4 linked regions of the Caenorhabditis elegans genome follow. The protein of the gene in region 2 purifies or fractionates together with the protein of the main gene of each other region. This does not show direct contact. Each region holds a gene or a part of one and is shown on either strand. Other genes may lie near its edges. The genes, in order: capg-2, kle-2, C17H11.5 and B0228.9.

The links.
Region 1: the proteins of kle-2 (region 2) and capg-2 purify together in Caenorhabditis elegans (affinity purification with western blotting; 2 studies listed by BioGRID, with this or other methods). This does not show direct contact.
Region 3: the proteins of kle-2 (region 2) and C17H11.5 fractionate together in Caenorhabditis elegans (co-fractionation; one large-scale study listed by BioGRID). This does not show direct contact.
Region 4: the proteins of kle-2 (region 2) and B0228.9 fractionate together in Caenorhabditis elegans (co-fractionation; one large-scale study listed by BioGRID). This does not show direct contact.

What each region holds. Positions count from the first base shown.
Region 1 is NC_003283.11:12,269,953-12,276,166, forward strand, and holds capg-2 (CAP-G condensin subunit), read left to right. Parts: upstream 1-1,920; 5' UTR 1,921-1,931; coding exon 1,932-2,236; intron 2,237-2,282; coding exon 2,283-2,993; intron 2,994-3,036; coding exon 3,037-3,418; intron 3,419-3,491; coding exon 3,492-3,956; intron 3,957-4,000; coding exon 4,001-4,428; intron 4,429-4,814; coding exon 4,815-5,556; 3' UTR 5,557-5,672; downstream 5,673-6,214. Other genes in the region: tsfm-1 (Elongation factor Ts, mitochondrial), read right to left, coding at 462-754, 801-1,228, 1,310-1,455, 1,514-1,597; bnc-1 (Basonuclin zinc finger protein homolog), read right to left, coding at 5,673-6,002.
Region 2 is NC_003281.10:7,939,915-7,946,118, reverse strand, and holds kle-2 (Condensin-2 complex subunit kle-2), read right to left. Parts: upstream 4,403-6,204; 5' UTR 4,397-4,402; coding exon 4,295-4,396; intron 4,221-4,294; coding exon 3,471-4,220; intron 3,422-3,470; coding exon 2,896-3,421; intron 2,563-2,895; coding exon 2,182-2,562; intron 2,132-2,181; coding exon 1,877-2,131; intron 1,783-1,876; coding exon 1,598-1,782; intron 1,079-1,597; coding exon 812-1,078; 3' UTR 526-811; downstream 1-525. Other genes in the region: gsto-1 (Glutathione transferase omega-1), read left to right, coding at 88-214, 265-524; C29E4.12 (Protein FMC1 homolog), read right to left, coding at 4,585-4,693, 4,748-4,965; C29E4.10 (Putative galactocerebrosidase), read right to left, coding at 5,263-5,349, 5,393-5,640, 5,689-5,786, 6,066-6,204. UniProt on the Caenorhabditis elegans protein: Regulatory subunit of the condensin II complex, a complex that seems to play a role in prophase chromosome condensation and in chromosome segregation in mitosis and in meiosis.
Region 3 is NC_003284.9:8,182,469-8,186,844, reverse strand, and holds C17H11.5 (Phage protein), read left to right. Parts: upstream 1-1,711; 5' UTR 1,712-1,728; coding exon 1,729-1,813; intron 1,814-3,245; coding exon 3,246-3,408; intron 3,409-3,453; coding exon 3,454-3,525; intron 3,526-3,575; coding exon 3,576-3,741; 3' UTR 3,742-3,837; downstream 3,838-4,376. Other genes in the region: C17H11.6 (RBR-type E3 ubiquitin transferase), read left to right, coding at 228-411, 875-1,208.
Region 4 is NC_003280.10:7,761,529-7,765,673, reverse strand, and holds B0228.9 (uncharacterized protein), read left to right. Parts: upstream 1-2,004; coding exon 2,005-2,259; intron 2,260-2,302; coding exon 2,303-2,550; intron 2,551-2,598; coding exon 2,599-2,723; intron 2,724-2,770; coding exon 2,771-2,823; intron 2,824-2,871; coding exon 2,872-2,988; intron 2,989-3,034; coding exon 3,035-3,290; intron 3,291-3,334; coding exon 3,335-3,612; downstream 3,613-4,145. Other genes in the region: srh-39 (Serpentine Receptor, class H), read left to right, coding at 158-333, 380-525, 778-965, 1,008-1,235, 1,294-1,372, 1,556-1,737; B0228.8 (uncharacterized protein), read left to right, coding at 4,134-4,145.

The sequences.
Region 1 (6,214 bases), on a different chromosome or scaffold from region 2:
CCAAATCTAAGAACGATACAATTTAGAACAATATCGCATGTTTCAACAAAGAGCTCAGTGATACTACAGTACACCTACATCACCAATTACTCCTACAGTACCAATACAGTACCCCAAAAATATATATGTTTTCTGAGTGTTCTCAGCAGTTTTCTCGTATTTTTACTATATTACAACAATTGTTTTAAATTTTCGCGGATTGTGACCTTAAAATACATTTGATTTCGACAGAAATCCGAGTGACCATGAATTTCTGAAATAAAATAAATGCATTTTAATCGTCTTCTTGTTCAATTGTTTTCCACGGAGGAATGTTCTGAAAATTGCAAATGTTTATTTTTTAAACTTTAAATTCAATTTATATGTCGATAAATTTATTTATCGATTAACAAAACAGAGAAACAAAAGCATTCTAAAAACTAATAAGGCATGAAAATAAAGTTACTACCACTTTTATCTAATTATTCGCTTCCAAGCTCTACACGAACAAAATCGAGAATGTTAGCATTGTGGGATTTTAGGTACTCATGAACAGATTGAGATGGATTCAACATGAAGGCTTGGCGGAGAAGAGCAGTTTCCGATTCATCAATATTAGTTACAACAACTGGATCAGCATTTGGATCATGCCCTTCTTGACTACGAAGCCCTTCTTGAGTTTTCACAGATTCTGCAGCTTCGCCGAGGGATTCCGGGGACATTCCGATAATGTGCTGGCATATCTGTCCGGCAAGTTGCTGACTACTGATTGACCCTGTAAATGTTAAGACTTAATTTTTTACTTTATTTCTTTGTTTCACCTGGACTCGATTGATTTAGAGCGATGAGTGAAATGAACCGTCCCATCGGGATATCATCAGTTCCATCTTTAGGATGTGAAGCTCCAAACAAAGTTGTTCCTTCGGGAGCTTTAAAAGCCTTAACTCTTCTCACTGTCATGTTCTCACCAAGCTTTCCGATTGAAAGGGAGAGCACTTCACGCATATTTTTTCCGTCGGAATCGGTCAGATCCCCAAGATCATAGGTGAATTCTTGAAGTTTTGAGCCGCTCGATATAGATTGTGGCTTAGCTTTTGCGAGAACAGAGTTGGAGATGTTTGACAACAAATCCTTGAAAGCTCCAGATCGCGCCACAAAATCAGTTTCACAACTGAGTTCTACCACAGCTGCTGTTGAGTTGTCCGTGACTACAGATACAAGACCATTCGATGTTACACGAGTTCCAAGTCTGGAATATTCTATAACTATTAAAATAATTCCTTGTGAAGTCAACATTCCAAATTAAAAAAATTTCAAAATAAACACTTACTTTGCCGCTTTGGCCCATCCTTCCTTCGCTGCAGCTTCTTTCAACCATTTTACAGCACTATCCATATCATTTTCGCCAAACTGAATAAGTGCTTTACGACAATTCACATAACTATAACCAGTCTTTTTTCGAAGAGCCATTAGAGCCTGAAAAACAATTATTTTTTATTTTTTAAAATTAATTAGGGTTCCTAGATTTTAATACCTCTTTAGAGACTTTCTTTTCGGCCTCAGCCAAGTTTCGACTAGTCGTTGATAGTAGACGTACAAATGGAGCTCTAGCAAACATTTCTAAAATTGGAAACTTTAGTTTTCAGTCAATATTGATAATTATTTTAAGAGAATAAAGCAAATTATGCAATTTTCTGGGCATTTTTTGCATTAAAAAATGAAAAGGCAAGTGCGCCCCAATGAGAAAGACGGCCGCGCGAAAGAATTCGTTTTGAACATAACAAGGAAAATGTGTTTCTTTTTTTTTAATTGCGAGGTAAATTATATTATTGAATTATTTTATTGATTATTTATAATTATTTTTAGGTGAAAACTTTAATACTATTATTTTTTGCTATTTTTTTGTTGAAATAAATTCTATAATTCCATAGAAATTTTCAGTAAAGAGATCAATGCCGAAGAGCAATCCGGTAACACCTAACAAACAACCATCAGAAGACTGGAATGAGTTACTCACAGAGTTCCGTGGAAAAGGAGGTCGGGCTCTTCAGAAAACATTCATCAGAAAATTGTGGGCAGTTCAAGAAGATATTATTGCCAATGCAAATCCATCGACTCTTCGGTGTATTTTCTTCGCACCAGCCTTGTTGATTTGTCCGGAAGGTATAAAATTATCAGCTGAAATTCTCCCAAAAATTGGTGTTGGAAATGGACTGATACTACTCGAGAAGTTAATACTAAAGTTCAATCTCACCGAGTAAAGTTTATACGCTGAAGAATTCCATTTATATATATTTTTGCAGCACTGAATGTCAAAGGTATGGTGAAGTATTCGTCACAGCTTGGAGAAATGCATATCAGGAGGCTAACTTTGATTTGACAGAGGAATTGGAGACCGATGTGATCAGTGTCATGTGTCAGCATGCATTATATGCTCACAGGCCTACCTGCACTAAATTTCAAAATGTGATTGCCGCATTTGCACACGCGAAAAAACTGGACAAAAGTGTAGATGAAATGGTGACAAGGCTTCTCAATGGATGTCTTTACCGAGCGCTGGACGCTCCAAATTACATTGTACAGTCATCAGCTGCAGAAGTATTTTTCAATTTTTACCCACTAATTGGCGAGGATACTGAAGACATGGATAGGATAATGGAAAACCAACATCGATATATGATGGACTTATTACGTAGTGATGTTATTTCCATTCGAAGCGAAGCCACGAAACATGTCTTGAAGGCAATCAGCGAATTCTGGCTTCTTATTCCAAAAAATATCGTGAAGGAACTCATGGGATACATCATTGATACAGTCGCGAAAGACACTGTTGTCAGCGTCCGCGTCGCCGTTTTTGAAGGTCTTAATGAAATGGCATTTGTTCCGGCATGTCTCACAGCATTCGAATATGGATTGAAATGTGCCGTTGATCCAGCACTACAGGATAAATCTGAACGAGTTCGTCTTGCTGCTTACCAAATAATTTCTCGTCTGAAGAATCATAAATTTATTAGGTAAAATGAACCCAAATCAACAAACTAAAAAATAAATTTTCAGTGTGTTCGATATCATTACTCGAGATGATGCCATTGCGAAACTCGATCTGGAAAACGTAGAGACCTGCCGCCGTCAACTGATTCCAATTATGCATATTTGTCTTCCTATCTCGAAAAGTCTGGATGAAGCATACTATCGTCCTCGTGTCAACTACATGTTAGGAAAAAGTCGATTGGCTCTTTTGAGTTACTTCCGATTGCTTGGCCCAATGAAAATCATTGATGCATCCCAAGCATCCAAACTTATCGAAATGTTTATAACCTGGGCATATCGTTATCTTCGTAAAAAGGATGGCCCTCCATTACCAGAGACTGCCGAAGGATACAAAAAAGCGAGAGCTTATCTTGAGTGTGCTCTCATTCTGTACATGTCATGCAAAGGAGTTAGTTTTCTATTTCTCAAATTTAAAATTGAAGACCTTTTTTAAAACATTATAAACTTCTAAACTTTTTCAGATGCTGATGTCAGATGGCGATGGAACTTCAAAAGCGAAATGTGATCAAATATTTGGAAAAGTTGTCAAGGAAATATTTGAAAAATACGCCAACACTCCTATTCTCGGAACTGCGACAGCAATCAGCAGTGTCATTCCTAAAGATTACCTTAAATCAATTGCTAATGATGTTCTCGCAAGACTGGAAGACGACGATGTTCCTCCAGAAGCAGTTGAGCCGTTTCTTGAATCTGCAATTCATTTCAACCCGGATTCTGTTTTTGATTCATTCGATAGTGGGCTTAATGTTCTTGTAAATTTGTATGGAACGAAACAGAGTAAGAAGAAACGACGTGAATTGGAGGATCCAGAAGATGTACTGATTATGACGTTGAACCGTCTCAAATATTTGCTACAGAGTCACAGTACATCAAATCTTATTGCAATGAAAGATGAATACCGAACTAAAGTCTTGGATTTGTTGAAGGTTTGTGTATTAGTTCATTATTGAAACAATAATATTATATTTAGAAAATTGATCTAATTCGAGAAGGAATTGAAATTAGGCTTGCAAAAGAAGAAGGCCAGGAGCACACTCTCAGTGATGATGTTCTTCTGTCGATACTCGAATTTAGATTCATTTTGCCCTTTTTCGCTGCAACTAATGGATCTGAAGATGCTGCGGATCGTAACCAAACTATCGAGTCAATGAAAAACCTTCTTCTTTGGTTTGAAAAAAATATTTCAAGTCAAATGGCGACTTTTGGTGAACACAATCAAGATTTTCTCATTCAATTAACAAGTACATTCTTGAATTGTGTAAACGTGTCACTATCTGCGTATGATTTCAAAACGAGACCTGTCGAATTTGAAGATGAGGAAGATAACGAGAATCGGGATCCAAGAGAAGAAAATGATGCAGCGAAAGATCAGGCTACGGTAGCAGAAGTTATAAGCAGGTAGGGTCATACGAAAGACTTAATTCTTTAGAAATGAAATATATTTATTAAGAAAGGGATTTAAATATGGAGCAACGCCAGTGGAAAATTGCTAACAACGATTCCCATACAAAAATGGTCGAATATCATAAAAAAATTTTTTTTTAAATAAGATTGTCTTAAATCTTCATTAATATCCTTTTCACTATTTAATAATTATGGAAGCCAAAAAATGGGTTTCTCTTGAACTAAAAATTTTGAAGAACTTAAAAATCTTCGGTGTATTTAGACGATATGCCCACTGTCGCTACTCGGTATTTAACCACAGGTTTTCATTTCTTGATAGAATAACAGTGAAGTTATTCTAAATGTCTTATAAGACGTCATATATCATTTTTATTTTTCAGAATCGTCAAGTCCTTCTGTAATAGTTCCACACCTTTTGAAATCTTCCGACCAGCTCTTCGAGTGGGCACAACGCTGTGCGACGAATCTTATTCTGAAGTGCACCACGAAATGGCACTTCTTCTCAGATTTATTCCAAAATGGATGAATAAGCAATGTGATTTGATGGAAGATGATGAAGAGAACATTTTTAAAAATCATCGAGAAATTGTGGAATCTTTACGCCAATTTCACAAGAGAGTTTCTGAAACTGATTATTGGGACGAAGATTCAGCTAAACGTATGATGCATCACTTTATGTTATTCTCAATTGTATCAGCTTCTTCGAAAAATGACGACGAGGCATATGATGATCCACGCGATGAAGATTATAAACCACCACACTTCATTTCTCTTGCACTAATCAAGTTCATTCTCAAAGAAAAATCGCTAACTGAAGACATTATTGAAGAAATATCAACCAATTATATTCCCGAAGACAGCAAGTATTTTACGGCAGAAGAAGGTGAACTGAAAACTGATGAAAAACTGTCTAAACTAGCAGCACTGTCACAACTTCTACGAATTCTCGAACGATATTCAAAATTCCATGGAAAGCTAATCAAAGAAGCCATCGACAAATGCACTACAAGAGTGCTGGATTGCTTCGCGAATGCCTCAGATCTGAATACTGTAGCCCATCACATTTTGAACAGTCTTTCTTCTCTTCTTGATGTCCAACTTCCAGATGAGAACAGACTCTAACCCTATTAATCTCTATATATAATTCTTTTATTTGATCTCATTGACGTTCTATATTTTTCTGCTTTATTGTTTTTTCTTTGTAAAAGTATTTTCCTGTTTTAGTTATTAACAATGTTTTAAACAAGATTCAATGATAAATCCAGCGGATGATCTTTTCCAAGAAGAAACCGGGTCGGCCAAAATGTATCCAAACTAGTCTTCATGGAAAGTCCTGAACCAGTTAAGGTTAGTGACTCGGGCATGTGCAATTTTGGGTTGTTGTTCGAACTATGACGGTTACGGCTTCTTCGGCTGCTAAATTGTTTCCCGCAACCCGTTACGGTGCATGTATGCATTTCGCGAAGATGTACTGCTGATGTATGGATTTTGAGTGCTCCCTTGTCACAAAATGATTTCGAACAGATGTCACAGGCAACACGACGTTTCAGTTTTAGAAGTGTCGACGTCTGAAAATTTAGGTTTTAGCGGTTAATTAGTGTCTGTAGTAGTTTCTCTCTGAATTACAGAATTCCGAATATAACCGTAAAAAATTCCAAAATTTTTTATGAGTAATTTCGTGAAAATTCGACACTTTGGTTTAAAGGCACATGATGGTTTTCTGAGTGGGTCCTGCCAAGATCTCAAATTATGGCTTTTAGAGATACAGTAACCCATCCCG
Region 2 (6,204 bases):
GCGTGGCTATTCATTTTGGAGGAAATTCAAATATGATCTTGAATTTTTCTATTTTCTAAACTATTTTGTTTTAAATAAGCAATTCAGGTAGCCCATGCAGTTCCATTGCTCTTCGCCGTCATGCGAGACCGAACTTTGAAAGATGAAAAGCAGCGAAAAGTTTTTGAAGTTTTGAAACAAGCTGAAAATCTCTTGGCCAATGATTTTTATGCTGGTGAGTTCAATTAATCGATACAATTTTTTGACCAAATTCAAACTATTCAGGATCTCAACCAGGTTATCCAGACTACTTATCATTTCCATTTTTTGAGAAAATTTGGTGGTCAGCTAGTTTGGATGGAGTTGTCGATTTACCAACAATTGAATTCCCAGGAGAAGAAGAATATCCTAAATTGACAAAATGGTTCCAGAAAATGATTTCTTCAGATGTTGTTCAATCCGTCACCCAATCTTTGGAACATGGCGCTGCATTCATGAACGCATATGCCACGCACCAGGAATTGAATTATGATTTGGGCCTTTGATATTAAAACCAGTCGATTTATTTTTAAGATTGAATAAAAAATGAAGGACGTAATTAAAAAACAATCAAAGAAATAGTGGTAATTCGTCGGAAAAAAAGTTATTGTACAGTCAGTAAAGTACCATAACGAACAGAAGAAAAATACTTGGCATCTAGAAGTTAATTAATTGATACAGTAAAATGAAAGTATAGCCAGAAATCGAGATACAAGTAGAGACAATGAGGAATGTTTAAATAAATTAAGATGGTTTTCGGGAGATTTAATGCAAAAAAAACAATAATTATAAATTAGGCATCAAGAGCGCCAGCCTCCTTGAACATTTCACAATGCATATCTCTTTTGAGTAGTGTGATTTTCATCGAGTTGATTCTTTCCTCGAGTGGCAGTTCCATGTCCTCGCTGACCATGACATTTCCGACATTACACATAAAGAGGCACGAAAGGAAGTATCGACTGATTTCGTACCATGGACGATCCATAACCAAATCTAGTAAACGTTTCGTGCCACCTTCAATATCGTATTGGCCAATGACAGCACGACCAACTGCGTGAACCTGAAAATTATTATAATTGAGAAATTCAAACATTTAGACATTTTGACTTTTCAAATTACTGTGGTTGACCAGAATATTAAAGGTGGAGTAGCGCCAGTGGGGAAATTGTTAAAAACCACTCCTTTGGTTCCAAAATGACCAAATATCATGATAAAACTTTTGAAAATTTTTTTATTTACTGTCAAAAACTGGCAATTACTCAGTTTTTGCCACTCATATGTTTGGAAGTCGACCAAAAAAATTTATTACATTTTTTATTGTTTTAATTTTGTTTAAATTAATTGTATTAAAACATTGTAGGGGTCGAAACATACGACATTTCTTTAAATAACCTCAAAAGCTCATATTTTTCAAAATTTTGGCAATTTGCCAAAACTTTGACCGGAAATTATGAAAAATCTAAAACTTTTTGGAGTGTTTTATTATGATATTCGGTTGTTTTGAATCACTATAAGTGTATTTAGACAAAATCCCCACTGGCACTACTCCACCTTTAAGATTAAATACTCTAAAACATACATCATACTCTTTTCGAGTTTCTCCTTCTTCGAGGATTGGTTCCATTCGAGAATGCCATTTGTCAACATGTTCTTGTAGAGTTGACACGGCAACATCCACATCTTCATATGCTTTAGCCATCTCGTAAGCCATTTGTTCGCGATCTGTTCGATTTTCAGCAAACTTCTTGAGCAATGGTAAAGCTTCTGTAAATAGAAAATTTACTTGATAGACTTGAGAGAGTACAATTTCAAAGTATTAATTTTAAAATTTTATTATAAAATTTTGCAAATAACTTACTGTCGATGAGCAAATTTCCAGGTAAATTGATAACACTGTTCAGTTCGGCATCATCAATATCCTCGAATCTTAATGGAACATATTCAGCAGGCGGAATATCAAAATCTGTTTGAAGAGCATCGAATTCTAGGTTGTTTGGAGCCATAGGAGGCCGTTCACCACGTGGCCGCACGTCTTCTTCGTCGTCATCGAACCCACCTCCAAACATTGAGAGCTCGACTTCGGCAGCAAGATCTTCATCGACTACGTCGTCATCTGGAAAAAATATAATTCAGTTTAAATTTCATAAAATTGAAATTTCTTACATTCAGCTCCGAGGGTTCTTCTATTAGACGTTGGAATATCCTCTGTTACCGGTTCAAATTGCTCCACGGGTATCACACGAGCTGTCCGTTTTCTCTGCATATTCTGGATACGAGCTTCTCGGATTTTTGCAGTCTTTTCCTTGATTCTTCGTTTCTTCTCGGCTAGAATAGCAGTACGAAGTGATTCTATCTTCCAGTCCTTAATCGGATTTATACGAGCCGCACTTCTCCAATAGTAGTAATCCTGCAGATAGTCGTGAGTTTCCATGAACTCGTCTCGTCGAGACTTATTGATCTTTTCCTCACGTCGTTGCTTCCTAGCCAACATTTCAGCGGGTTTTGGTTGGAATTTCGTGATCTTTTTTACCGGCTTGCTAACGACTGAAATATATCATTTACTATATATAAAGCGCTTATTCCGTTTGTCCATAGCTTGTAGTCTATGTAGTCTTTGTAGTCTGCGAAGTTTTAGCTTCTGGAGGGATAGTGAGTTGGGGTTAGTGTAGGGATATAGTCGGGGTACTGTAGTGGTACAATGGTGGTACGGTAGGAGTACTGTATGATTACGGTAGGAGTACTGTATGATTACGGTAGTTTCAGAAAAATTGGTTTTCAGCTCCAGAAGTCGGGGGCCGCGCCGGAGGTGCGGTCCACGGCTCATATATATATATAATCTAAAAAATACCGAAAGAATCCCATTAATTCAACAAATACCTGGCAGATTCTCGTCTCCCGTGTACCAAATAATATGATTTTTATCCAGCTCGTCCCATGGTGCCGGTGCTCGCTTCTCATCCCTTCTGGACAAATTTCGAATATAATCATCGTCGTCATCGTCTCCTCCACCACCAAAATCATCATCAAAGTCCATGGGCGCGTAATTCTCATCAGGTCTTCTACTAGTGTTTGGTTCATCGTTTTGCATAACAGATCCAAAGTTATCAACGAACATATCAACTAAGCCAGTGGTAAGATGAGTGCTCGGGCGATTCTTATTAACTCTTCCCTCCACAAATGACAAGAAATCATTCAAATGATTACTCTGTCGATGTCGTTCAACAAATGGTTGTGAGAGACGAGTTGGTTGAGATCCAAAGCCTTGAGAATCTCGAAGAGTTTTAGCTGCAATTGTGATGGCTCTCGATGTGGCACGAGATTGAATTTCTTGATTTTGACGAACTGCTTCTTGCTCTATGAACCAACGAGGAGGTGGAACAACTTCACGGCCAGAGAGAGGATCCTGAAGAAATCAAGTTTTGAAAATGTTTCATCGAATTATTACCACTTACCTTAAACGGTCCATATGCACTGATCTTCTCATGCTCTTGCTCCAAATCTAACTCAACTTCCAAATCAGCAACACCAAAATTAGCTGCCAATTCCTTATTATCTGGCATCCAACGAGCACCAGGTAGTGTGAATTGGTCTAAATTTCCACGATAACAATCATGGGAGTAGAGTATTTGTTGATCGTGTTTAACTTTCGACTTTTTAATTTCAAAATCTTTTACTTTTCCGATAACATCAGGACGAGATTTTGCATTCAAAATTTGTTCATCAGTACGATTGAGCTGGCCGTAATTGAGCTTGAACATGAACTGGGTTGGCTTTGCTACTAAACAGCTTTTTCGCTCATATTGAGACTCTATAACTTCAGCATTCTCGACCATTCTCACTGCATCAATCGATTTTTTCTCTTCTTTTACTGTCTTCTCAAAATTTGCTAGAGCTTCCTGTTTCAGTGAGTCGATATCAGCCAAGTCGTAATTCGTCGATCCCAAATTAAAATTTTTCCGTCTTCCAGCTCCTCGTCTACTGCCGGTGTTTCCATCATCTTGACCTTTGTTCTCGACTAAATCCACAACTGAAATCGTCAGTTCATAGACATGATCTACTTTTCGACCATATACGGCACACGATCCTTGAATAATCCGGCATGCTCGTTGAAAATCGAACAATCTGTAAGTTGTCGCTGCATCCACCTGATTATCTGTGTCTTCACTTTCTTGTCTGATAACCTCGAGGTATCCGGCGAGTGCCTGAAAGTCGAGCAATTATTTATTTTATTTACCGAAAAAGAAAAGATACAACCGTGAAAAAAAATTATCCTTACTTTCAACACGTCGATTGAGAAGTTCTCGACAAGATCTTTTGCGGGTGTGACGAGCCATGCTAAATCTGTCGATTCTTGACCTGGAGGAGCATTCCTAGTCATTTGTACCTGAAACAACAATTCCAATGCTCTGGCGATGATTAACTATAAAAAAGATATAGAATGGTACGAAAACCATAAGGAAGTTATAAAAAACCTGAATAGTATTTTAAAAACGAAGTATTTTATTTTGATTGAAAAGAAAACAGGAATCTAATCTATTCGAGAAAGAAATAACAATTTTAAGTATTTTAAAGTTTCTTTTGTTCTGGAAGTTTCAATCCAACAATAGCAGCAGCCTCTTCAACACTCTTCTCGCCACCCTTATATCTCTCTTGAAGTTCATTAAGCTGTCGGGTTCTAAAATGAATGGATATTGATTATTACTTTCTTATTCTCATAAAACAAACGAACCCTTTAATATAGCTCAAATAGAGTTTTGCAACGCTCTCTGACTCGTTCTCGGCTTTTGAATATCTTCTTGTTGTAACCTGGTCGGCTTTCATTTGCTCCATGAGGTATTTATATTGTGCCGAATTCGGGGAGAATGTTTTGTCGACCTTTTTCAGTTCCGAAATGATGTTTTTGATGGTGTTGAAAGCGGTCACTCCTTTTCCAACAGCAGAGGCCATACTTTAATTTTGAAAATGTACAAAAAAGGGATAATAAATAGCACAATAACACAATTCAGACAAAAAAAGAAAACAGGAAAACGTTCTCAATTCAAACTGCGCGCGTGAGGCGCGCGTTGTTTAGCGAAACGCGGAGCATCGTTGCGGTACCATTTGCGCGGAAGTTTGAATCTAGTTTTTTGTGGCAATTGATTTTGACATTTTCCAATAATGTGGTAAATTATAAAATGGTACATTTATTTTAATAGAAACATGCCCAAGCAATATTAAATACTTTTTGAATGTAATTAATCAGCCTCAGTGAAAATAATCTGTTGAAATATTATCCCATTCGGAGATGCCAAAATTTCCAGTGCCAATCACGAATAAAGTGTCATTATTTGTCTGAAAACATTATATTTGAAATTCAATTGATTATTTTAATAACCTTATTTAATTGTTCTTCTGGAATTTCCACTGAAGTCATCACATGATGATTTCCGAATTTTATGAAGAGATGCGAGTCCAGTAAATGAATTGAGAATTTATAAAACTTTCCAAATTCTACTTTTCTTCGTGCTTTGAATTCAGCAATTATTGAACGGTCAACGAAATCGGAAAATATAGTTACTTTTTTATTTGAAAATTCAATCTCAACAAATATTCCACGACAGTTTATTACTTCTATGTCACATCCTGAAAATGTAATAGATTTTAATATGAATCACAACACTAATTACATACCACTACAATTACTCCTTATACCTAGAATGATGGATTTAGCTGTTGAGTGTTTTGGAATATTGACCTCGGCGTTTAGAATACTATTCTTCTTTCGATACCTAAATGGAAGGAATACCGTATACCGTATTTCCTCTATTAGTTTTGCACCCCTTTGCTCAACTTTGACACCTCATATCTCCTTTTTGGACATATAAATAATTAACAAACTACAAACTACAGAAAAAACATCTATCTAAATTTTTATCAGTTGACAACTTTTCTATAGAACAAACTACTACTGAGATATGAGCTGCCAAAGTTGAGAAAAGAGGTGTAAAAATATTAGAGGGAATACGGTATACTGTAGTTCCTCATAGGTCAAAGTCATCAATTCTTACGCCATAACTGCATATGGAGTTCGAATGTGTGAGGTGCACCAACTAATTGATGGGCGTGTCACTTTCTGTACCGCCCGTCCATTTCGTACCACCCATGATCCTTTTTGTGGCATCCAAAACTTTGGCTCCTCGTCGAATT
Region 3 (4,376 bases), on a different chromosome or scaffold from region 2:
GTTCTCTTTGAATTGTTTTTCTAGTTAATTAAAATTTTTGTTGTTCCGCCATTCTGTTCTATTTTAACAAAATTATGTTAAATTGAAATTTTTTATTCTTGTGAGCTACATAAAATCGCAATGCCGCAGTTGAGTTCGCGTAACAAACTTGAAATGAGAATGCATTGAAAAATATATATAAAGTGTACCAAATCTAATTATTTACCCAACCCCTTCAAATTTTGAAGAGCGCGACGACGATGGGCTTCTTTTCACCGAAGAAGGTGCTGCGTTGCTGATCAATTCACCACCTGCAATGCGCAGCTCTGGAAGTGTGAATATCGATCCCATCGATTTATTCAAAATTCGTAGCTGGCTTGATAATATGAAGCAAATGGTAGCCACTGACGCACCTCAAGAGACACCTTATGAGTGAGTTGCGAAAATTTGAATGTTAAATGTTGTAGGAGGAAGTTTTCGAGAATAAGATGTTTGTGAAAAAAGTGTTATACTGAAATATGAAGTATTATAATCACAAATTTCGATCATTTCAAGCAACAGTTTTTTTAAAACGAATTTTAGCTATTGATTTTTTTGGATTTTAAACAAAAATATCAGAAATTCAGTAGATTTTATGTTGAAATGTGCAAAAAAACCTACAGGCGGAGTGTAATATTGATTTTTTAATGCGATCACTGTAAATGAATTTTGGAAAGGTAATATTTTTAAAAAACGTTTTTCGATTTAATTTGCAGTACTTTTCTTGTACATCATCTTCAAAATACATTTAGTGAAAGCAAGAGCAAAGGTGAAAATAAGTAAAAATGTTTAACTTGAACATTTTTTTCTCCGCTATTGCATTCTTTAGTCTAAAATTATTTGAAAGTGTTTCTAGACCTTCAACGCGACCAAGTAGCAAGCTCCGAAGATCAGGAAGCGGGAAGAGTGTGCATACAGTAGCCACGTTCCCAGTCAACCTCAACACCGGTAACACGGTGAACAGGCAGGGACTCTCGAATTTGTCGAAACCAGAAATTGTTCAAAATATGAGCAACGCTCCTTCGGAGGCTGGAATTACTGTCGCCGCGCCACGTAGCCCGACAGAACTTGAGGCGAACGGTGAGAATGCTGGCGATGACAGTGTGTCGACAAGTTCTTCATCCAGAAGTCAGAAAAAAAAGAAGCGACGTTTTGGAATATTCAGTAATTGGTTCAACAAAACGAAATAATAACATCGCGTTCTTTTTTTTCATTCTGTATAAAAAACATCACTCTATGTCATTTATGTTCCTTCCAGTTGTCTCAACGTGCTTCAACTAGTCATTTCTTCTCATAACCCTGCAATTTTCTCCCTTTCCCCATCTTTTCCATCTTTTCCATTCCAAATTTTCTCCTTATTGTCCAATAACAAAAACATCAACAACAACTCTATGCGGTATTTTTTTCGTACAGTACTTTTTCTCCCTCTTTACTGCTAGCCACGACGTGTGTTTATGTTGTGATTGCCAAAAAGTGTTTCAAAGTCAATCTCGTCAATTTCTCATGTTAACCTGTTTACACTTGTTTCAATTTTTCTTGTCTGACAGTATTGGAATCCAAATTCAAATACAAGTCATCATCTCTTCATTACATTCATTTTTTAATGTTCTCTATATTTTTTTGTAAAATATATTGATTTTAATTGAAAACTTAATTTTGTTTAGTTCTCTCTTAACAATGTTACAAGGTTTTCAGACTGTATAGGCAACGATGACTGGATTTGTTAAACTACTGACCGAAAAAGCAAAAATAGCTATGAGACATCTAAAAGAGTGCGATTTAGATGCACCATGCTGTAAGTTTTAGTATTCATGAACAAAAGTGGTTTTTCTGCATTCAAAACTATTTTTCAAAAAACGAAATCAATTATAATTCCAAAAAAAAAACAGTAAATGAAACATTCTACCTTTTTCAAAATGTTTTTTTTCATAATTTTTATTGGAAATTTCAATATTTTTGTACAAAGCAAACGTTATTTGTAAACACTTGAATAATGATCGCAATCGTTTGAAATTTATGGGCTTATTCAAGTAATGTAGCAAAATGTATTTAAATACATTTGTGACGTCACAAATGTATTTAAATACATGTTTTTATATACTTGAATACAGTTGTGACGTAATTTTTCTACACTTTTTAATTTTCCGACATTACTTGAATAACCCCATTAGAAGGAATGAAAATACTTGAAAAAATTCTTTCACGAGGTCAGTCCATTTTTTCCAAGTTTCAATAAAAAATGATGTTTTCTCATCCAAAAATAAATAATTTATCTACATTACATTTGAAAGACTGTAAAAAAATTCGAGGAAGTTCAAGAAAATTTGACCGAAAAACGCAAAAAAGCCCACATGGGAGGAATTTTATTTATTCATTTATTTATTCATATTTATCCTTATGATGAGTTTTTTGTTCATTTTCTATGTAACGGTTAGAAAATTGAAACATAAATTTAAATCGGCGGCAACGATATAACGCACTGAATTGGCCATCAATGAAAATTACACATTTTTACTGTTTTGTGTCTTCGCGTCGATCAGGATTCAGCGCGTAGTATCGTTGCCGCCAATTTAAATTTATTTTTCAATTTTTCAACCGTAGACTTAAAAAACAAACCAAAAAATGGGCGGAAATAGCCAACCGTCACGAAGTTCTAAAATAGGCCCCACCCCATGCGGGCTTTTTTCCGTTTATCAGTCAAGTTTTCTCGTACTTCCTCGAATTATTTAACTTCCCCTCATATTCTTTCTAATATGGCCGAAAACTAAAATTTAAGACAAATAACCTTCAATTGATAGGCTTCCTTTAGATACAAAATAAGTGCAATATAAGAACAATATAATTTGTTTTTCAAAAGAGCCGAAATAGTATGTCGCAAAGAGGTTTAACGGAAAACAATGTTTTGTTGGCAGAGTTTTGAGATCAAAAAGTGGAAAAAAACTGATAAAATAAAACAAAAGTTTCCTTGACCTAATAAAAAAGTTAAAAAATTTTTTGAAGTTCAATGAAGTTTAGAACAAAAGTCAATTTTAAGTTTTTATTGAGTCTACCTAAAAATTTTCGACATTTTTAGGTCGGTCCAAATTTTTTAAAGAAAAATCTCTCAATTCGAAACCTAGAGGAATTTGAAACATCAGATATATGAGATTTCTCTGTATGCTAGTATTTGTGATATTAGAAAAATACATTTGAAATACTTTCTTTAATACATAGTTTTTCTGGTTCAGTCTGCAGTCACCATCCAGCCGAGACATACGTCTTTCCTGATCAGTACACTCTCAACAAACTGATGAACGGTGAAGCTCCGCCAGGTCCCATACCACGAAATAAATTGAACGACTGGGTTGGAGTTCCTCCGGTATGCCCGGAAAACGATGATGGTGCTATTATGTGAATTGCAATGCCGTATCGTTATTTCATATTCTTAGTTTTCAGAGAATTTTCGGTTGCAATGGAAACCTGTAGATATGATTACATGACCATCAAGTATTGGCTCGACTACCAGAGGTCACCTAACATTTTGAACTATTGTTTTCTGAACTCTAGTTCATTTTCAGAATTTCCATTGCCGCAATGAAAGTGTACGATAGAATGAAACGAGAAAAATATAATCGACCATGTAACGTAGTAATACGGTTCATTTGCCGGGCTATCAGATTACTCTTTGGAATCGAGAACAAGAAGCGCTTTGATGGAGCTCCATTAATTCGAAAGGAAATCTAAACGATCATTTAAACACATTTCAACACATTACTGTGTTAGTTCTATAATTCAATGCTCCGAACATTGTTTTTTTACAAATAAAATATTTTGTAAATTTTTCAAATTAATTTTTTCAACACATTGAAACATTTCTTGATTAAATTTGTGAGTACAAGTGCTGAAAAATCAGAAACTTTAGCCCTGTGCTAAGAGTGTTAAATTTAATTTTTGTTTAACAGTAAGTGATCCAAAAATTTTCGGTATTGGGAAACTTATGCATTTGCCGGTTTCTAAAAATATCAGATCTTGACGATCTTCTGCAATTCTCAGACTAAGTTATGCCTCAAAAAAATAAAAATATTAGAGCGAGCAACAAGTGTTTTGTATTTTCTCAGTTTTCATCTTTTCTCAAATTTTTTATGTGGTAAAGCAATCCCCGAAACTTCGTTCGAACAACATTCCCTTTTTTTTTATTTTTTTAAGAACTCAGCAGTATGAGACACTCTTATAGTAGTAGTAGTAGTAGTAAAGTACTAACTTCACAATGTCATAAAATCCTCGGCACCTCTTTTTTACCAACCGGTGTAATACAGTGCGTCCAACTTCTATAGCATCCCCCTCTAATTTGGCAGTTTGGAGCTTTTCAAAATATTTTT
Region 4 (4,145 bases), on a different chromosome or scaffold from region 2:
GAAAATTCTACAAAACCAGCAAAAAAATCGCCTGACTTATTATGCATTTTATGCTTCAACTATCTCATCCATCTATACTACATTTTTCTGTCACAAATTTCACATCTGCTATAAATATCTGATTCTTCGTTTACTTTTTTTTGTTCGATCAACCACAATGGATTGCAAACAAGAAGTTTCTTTGCTGGAGAATCCTGTAATTTTTAGAAATTTCTGTTTTTTTCTCACTATTCTGGAACTTTTCCCTACAAGCTACGCAATGTATCTTTTGATTTATCATTCACCAACTCAAATGAAGGATATGAAACGGTGTTTAATAAACTTGGCATTTTGGTAAGAAAATCTGAATACTTCAAACCAATTTAATTCCAAATCACAGGACAAGAGCTATGGATTTGATGTATTCGTTTCTATTAATTCCTTATTTTTTCATTCCAACTCTGGTAGTGCTTCCAGTTGGATTATTTAGTTTAATTGGGTTGAAAACAGAAATTCAACTGGTAGTGCTTGTGATAATCATAGCAGGTGAATTGAAAATTAAGTAAAATAGTTGCGGCATATTGCCGAAAAAAGCTAAAACTAAGTTTTGCCCGAGTTTTGACAATTTTTGATCTAAGATAATATTCTTGGGTCAAGTTTGGTGAAGAAACTATAGCGCCAAATTTCGAGATTTCTTTTCTATTTTTCATTTCCATTTTTCAGCAACAAGTGTGAAACAAGTAGAAAAATTGTTTCAAAAATTAAACTCCATGATCTATAACGTTAAGGACTTTTCAGGTCTTGGTTCGGCAGTTGTGATGATTTTTGAAAATCGTTTCAATGCTATGTGTCCACCATATTTTCGTTTTAAAATGAATAAAAGACGAGAATACCATTGCATAATGTTTGTTATAAGTTTTTCACTACTTATATCTTCATTTTTGAGACTTGAAGATCAGAATTCGGCTAAAAATTCTTACGTCAATGTAAGATCGCTCATTTTGTAAAGTATCATTCAAGAATTTTAGTACTTTCTCTGTCCAATTCCGGAGTTTTTCACAACTGCATTTTCCTTTAAGCCGGTTTCAAATACAATGTTAATTACTACAGTCTTACTATTTTCTCTAGTGATTCTTATTCAAGTTATATTTTTCACAGGATTTAGTTTTTATTTTTTATTTTCAATTGAAAGAAGTAAAATGTCTTCAGCAACGAGAAAACTTCAACTTAAATTCTTTTATACGACGTGGCTACAGGTGACACTTTTCATTTTCTTTTGTCAATAGAAACTAGACAATCAAAATTTATTTTCAGATGTTAACTCATCTTGCTGTTATAATATTACCAATGGGATATACATTCTTCTCATTTCTACTCCTTTATAGAAACCAAGGTAAGCAAAGCTTTCAGATACTTACTTACTTATGATCACACCTTTCCGAACTTCTGAATCCTTCGTTAGGGTAGACCATAGTTCTATGTCCCGTTTGGCTGCGTCATTTTTAATAATCTATTTTCCCGAAGAACCATTCTAATTGTAAGATGAGTCGTTGGATGAGAAGGACTAAATTTTCAGTTTTGGTAAATATTTCCACAATAATTATCAGTCTCCATGGATCGATAACATCAATTTCAACAATAGCAATCAACCGCCCTTTTCGTAACAGATTCAAGATGTGGTTATTCCCGAAGAGATTCAAAAAGCGGAGAAGTAGTACGAACCTCAATGTTTTGGCTGTTTCCTCAAGCTGGCTGTAATATTTATTCCATTTTTTTAATGTTCATTTGTAAAAATGCAATTCTTTTCCTTCAATTCATATTGCAAATCGAAATCTAAACCTATATTTTAAATTAAAAACTTTAATCGAATCAGGAGAGCTCCATAAAAGCTCCGTTTCAATTTCCCTGTCAGTTTAAAATGAATATTCTTATATTCACACTTTTAATTTTGCTATAACATTTGAATTCGATGATTATGACTTGGACTGGTTTGATCCAATTGATCAAAACAATACAAGATCCTTTATGCAAAGTGTCACACCTCCACCAACTCAGCAAGGGAAACCTGATCCAACAAATTCTGACATGATGATGAAACGATTTCAAGAGGATATGGTTGGCATTCTTGATGGAAGAAGTCGTGCACATTTTGATGATTTAGCTAACTATTTCCATTCAAAAATTCGAATATGTACTTGTTTTGAGCCTGGCCGAAGCTTATCCGTTCCAGAGTTTCAACATGTATTGACATTTATCTCTGGTTACTATCAACATTTAACTGTAAGAATAGTTTCAGATTTATATGGAATTATTGGTTTTACAGGAAGTTAGATCGGACAGATGGACAGATCATCCAAACTATATAAATGGAATTTTTACGTATACAGCAATGGGTTCAGACAGGAAAAACTCAGATGGGAAGTGGACCTACGAAGCTTCAATGGATTGGAATCAGAATAAATTTTTGATTGAATACATTTGGTTTCCTTACAATTGTTCTGTATTTCCTGTAAAAGATCCATCAGAGCCGTTGGAGGATGTTGATAACTATTTAGAACGAGTTCGAACAAAGTGAGCGTTCGTATTGAAAGTTCAAATTTTAAAGCTGAACATTTTTAGATTATCAAGCGGATTATTCTTACCTGATGGAGTTGATCAAACTTTGCAAAACTTTGAAGAATTTGGGGATTGGATAACAGATGATGCGATTATTGTAGTTTGTGATGAACAAAAAATGGATAAAAGTACGTTGTAGAGACAACGAAATAATTAAGTTCACTTTATTTTGCAGATGAGTTTATAAAATATATGAGTACTAGATATCATCATATTCGAAAATATTCGGTAAATTTTCAACTTTCAGTTTAATTTTCATTTAAGATTACTATTCAGAACAATCAATTTGATCATGTAAAAAATAATCAAGATTTTGAAATAACTTTCTCTACGACTTGGACAGCAGACAATACTACACAATTCCGGGACACATATATTTTCCGGGTTAAAAAGGTAAATTTATTAATGCTTTCCGACACTTTAATACATGAATTTTCAGGCAGAAGATTATTTCCCGGAAAATGATCGTTTGTACCTTCTATGGAAAATTTACTGGGTTACAAAGAGATGCACTGTAGATGTGACACAGTACCCTGCAGTTCTAGATGGATCTGTCATACTGGGAGAAGTGAATAAAAGATTTTGTGGAATGATTGATGGTGAAAATTGGGATGTGTATCAATCATTCTTGGACCTATTTGATCCAAATGATACTAAATGGGGCTCTTGTGTTGGAAAAAGAGAGCAGAAATATGGTTTGCTGACAACTGAAAGTTATTTTTAAATGCAAGAAATTCAGATAAAATCCGTGAATACATGAATAAAGTGGTTGCAAGGTATGCAAAATGTGTAGTCTCTGAAGTTAGAATTCGTAACCTCGTGCATGCTGATTTCTCAACAACGTTTCTTCTCAGTCGAGCAAATGAAATTCAGGAGCAAGAGGAGTTGGATGTGGGATTTGTTGGATACAAGAATAAAAATGGACATTGGAAAATTAATCGAATGTATTTTGAATGTGAAGAGAGCAAAAAGAGAAAGTTTATGGATAATCTTTTAAATGTTCGTCTTAAATGTTGACATAATTTTTTTTATTAATAAATGTTGGAATATATTCAGAGATTCCAAAAATTAATGAAGTAAAAAGAAGGCAGATTAAAAATTGGTTATCAAGTACTAAACATTTTTTCTGCGATTTTTGTTTTCATAAAATACATTGCTTAATTAGAAAATGTGTACTTTTAGAAAAACCTCAAAAGTTTTAGAACTGACGTATTCTAAAATCTCAAAATCAGTCTTTCAGTCATTTGAAAAATGCCTTTATTTCCGATATGAACTGTTTTATTCGTATAGTTTTGAGACGTCATATTTTTAAGTCTGACAAGCATCACAACATGAATAAATTAAATTAAATTAATCGGTTTTTCAAATTTTGTCATTGATATCAATGTATTCTTTATTCAGCAACAAAAAAGAAAACAAACTACAAAAGATACGGTATACATTTTGTTGCTGTTAGCTGAAAACCAAACTTTGTAAATCGAATTAAACCGATATTTATTTATATGCAGTTTCCTACATTTTTTGGAGCTGTTTTGGAAATGCGCCGGTTT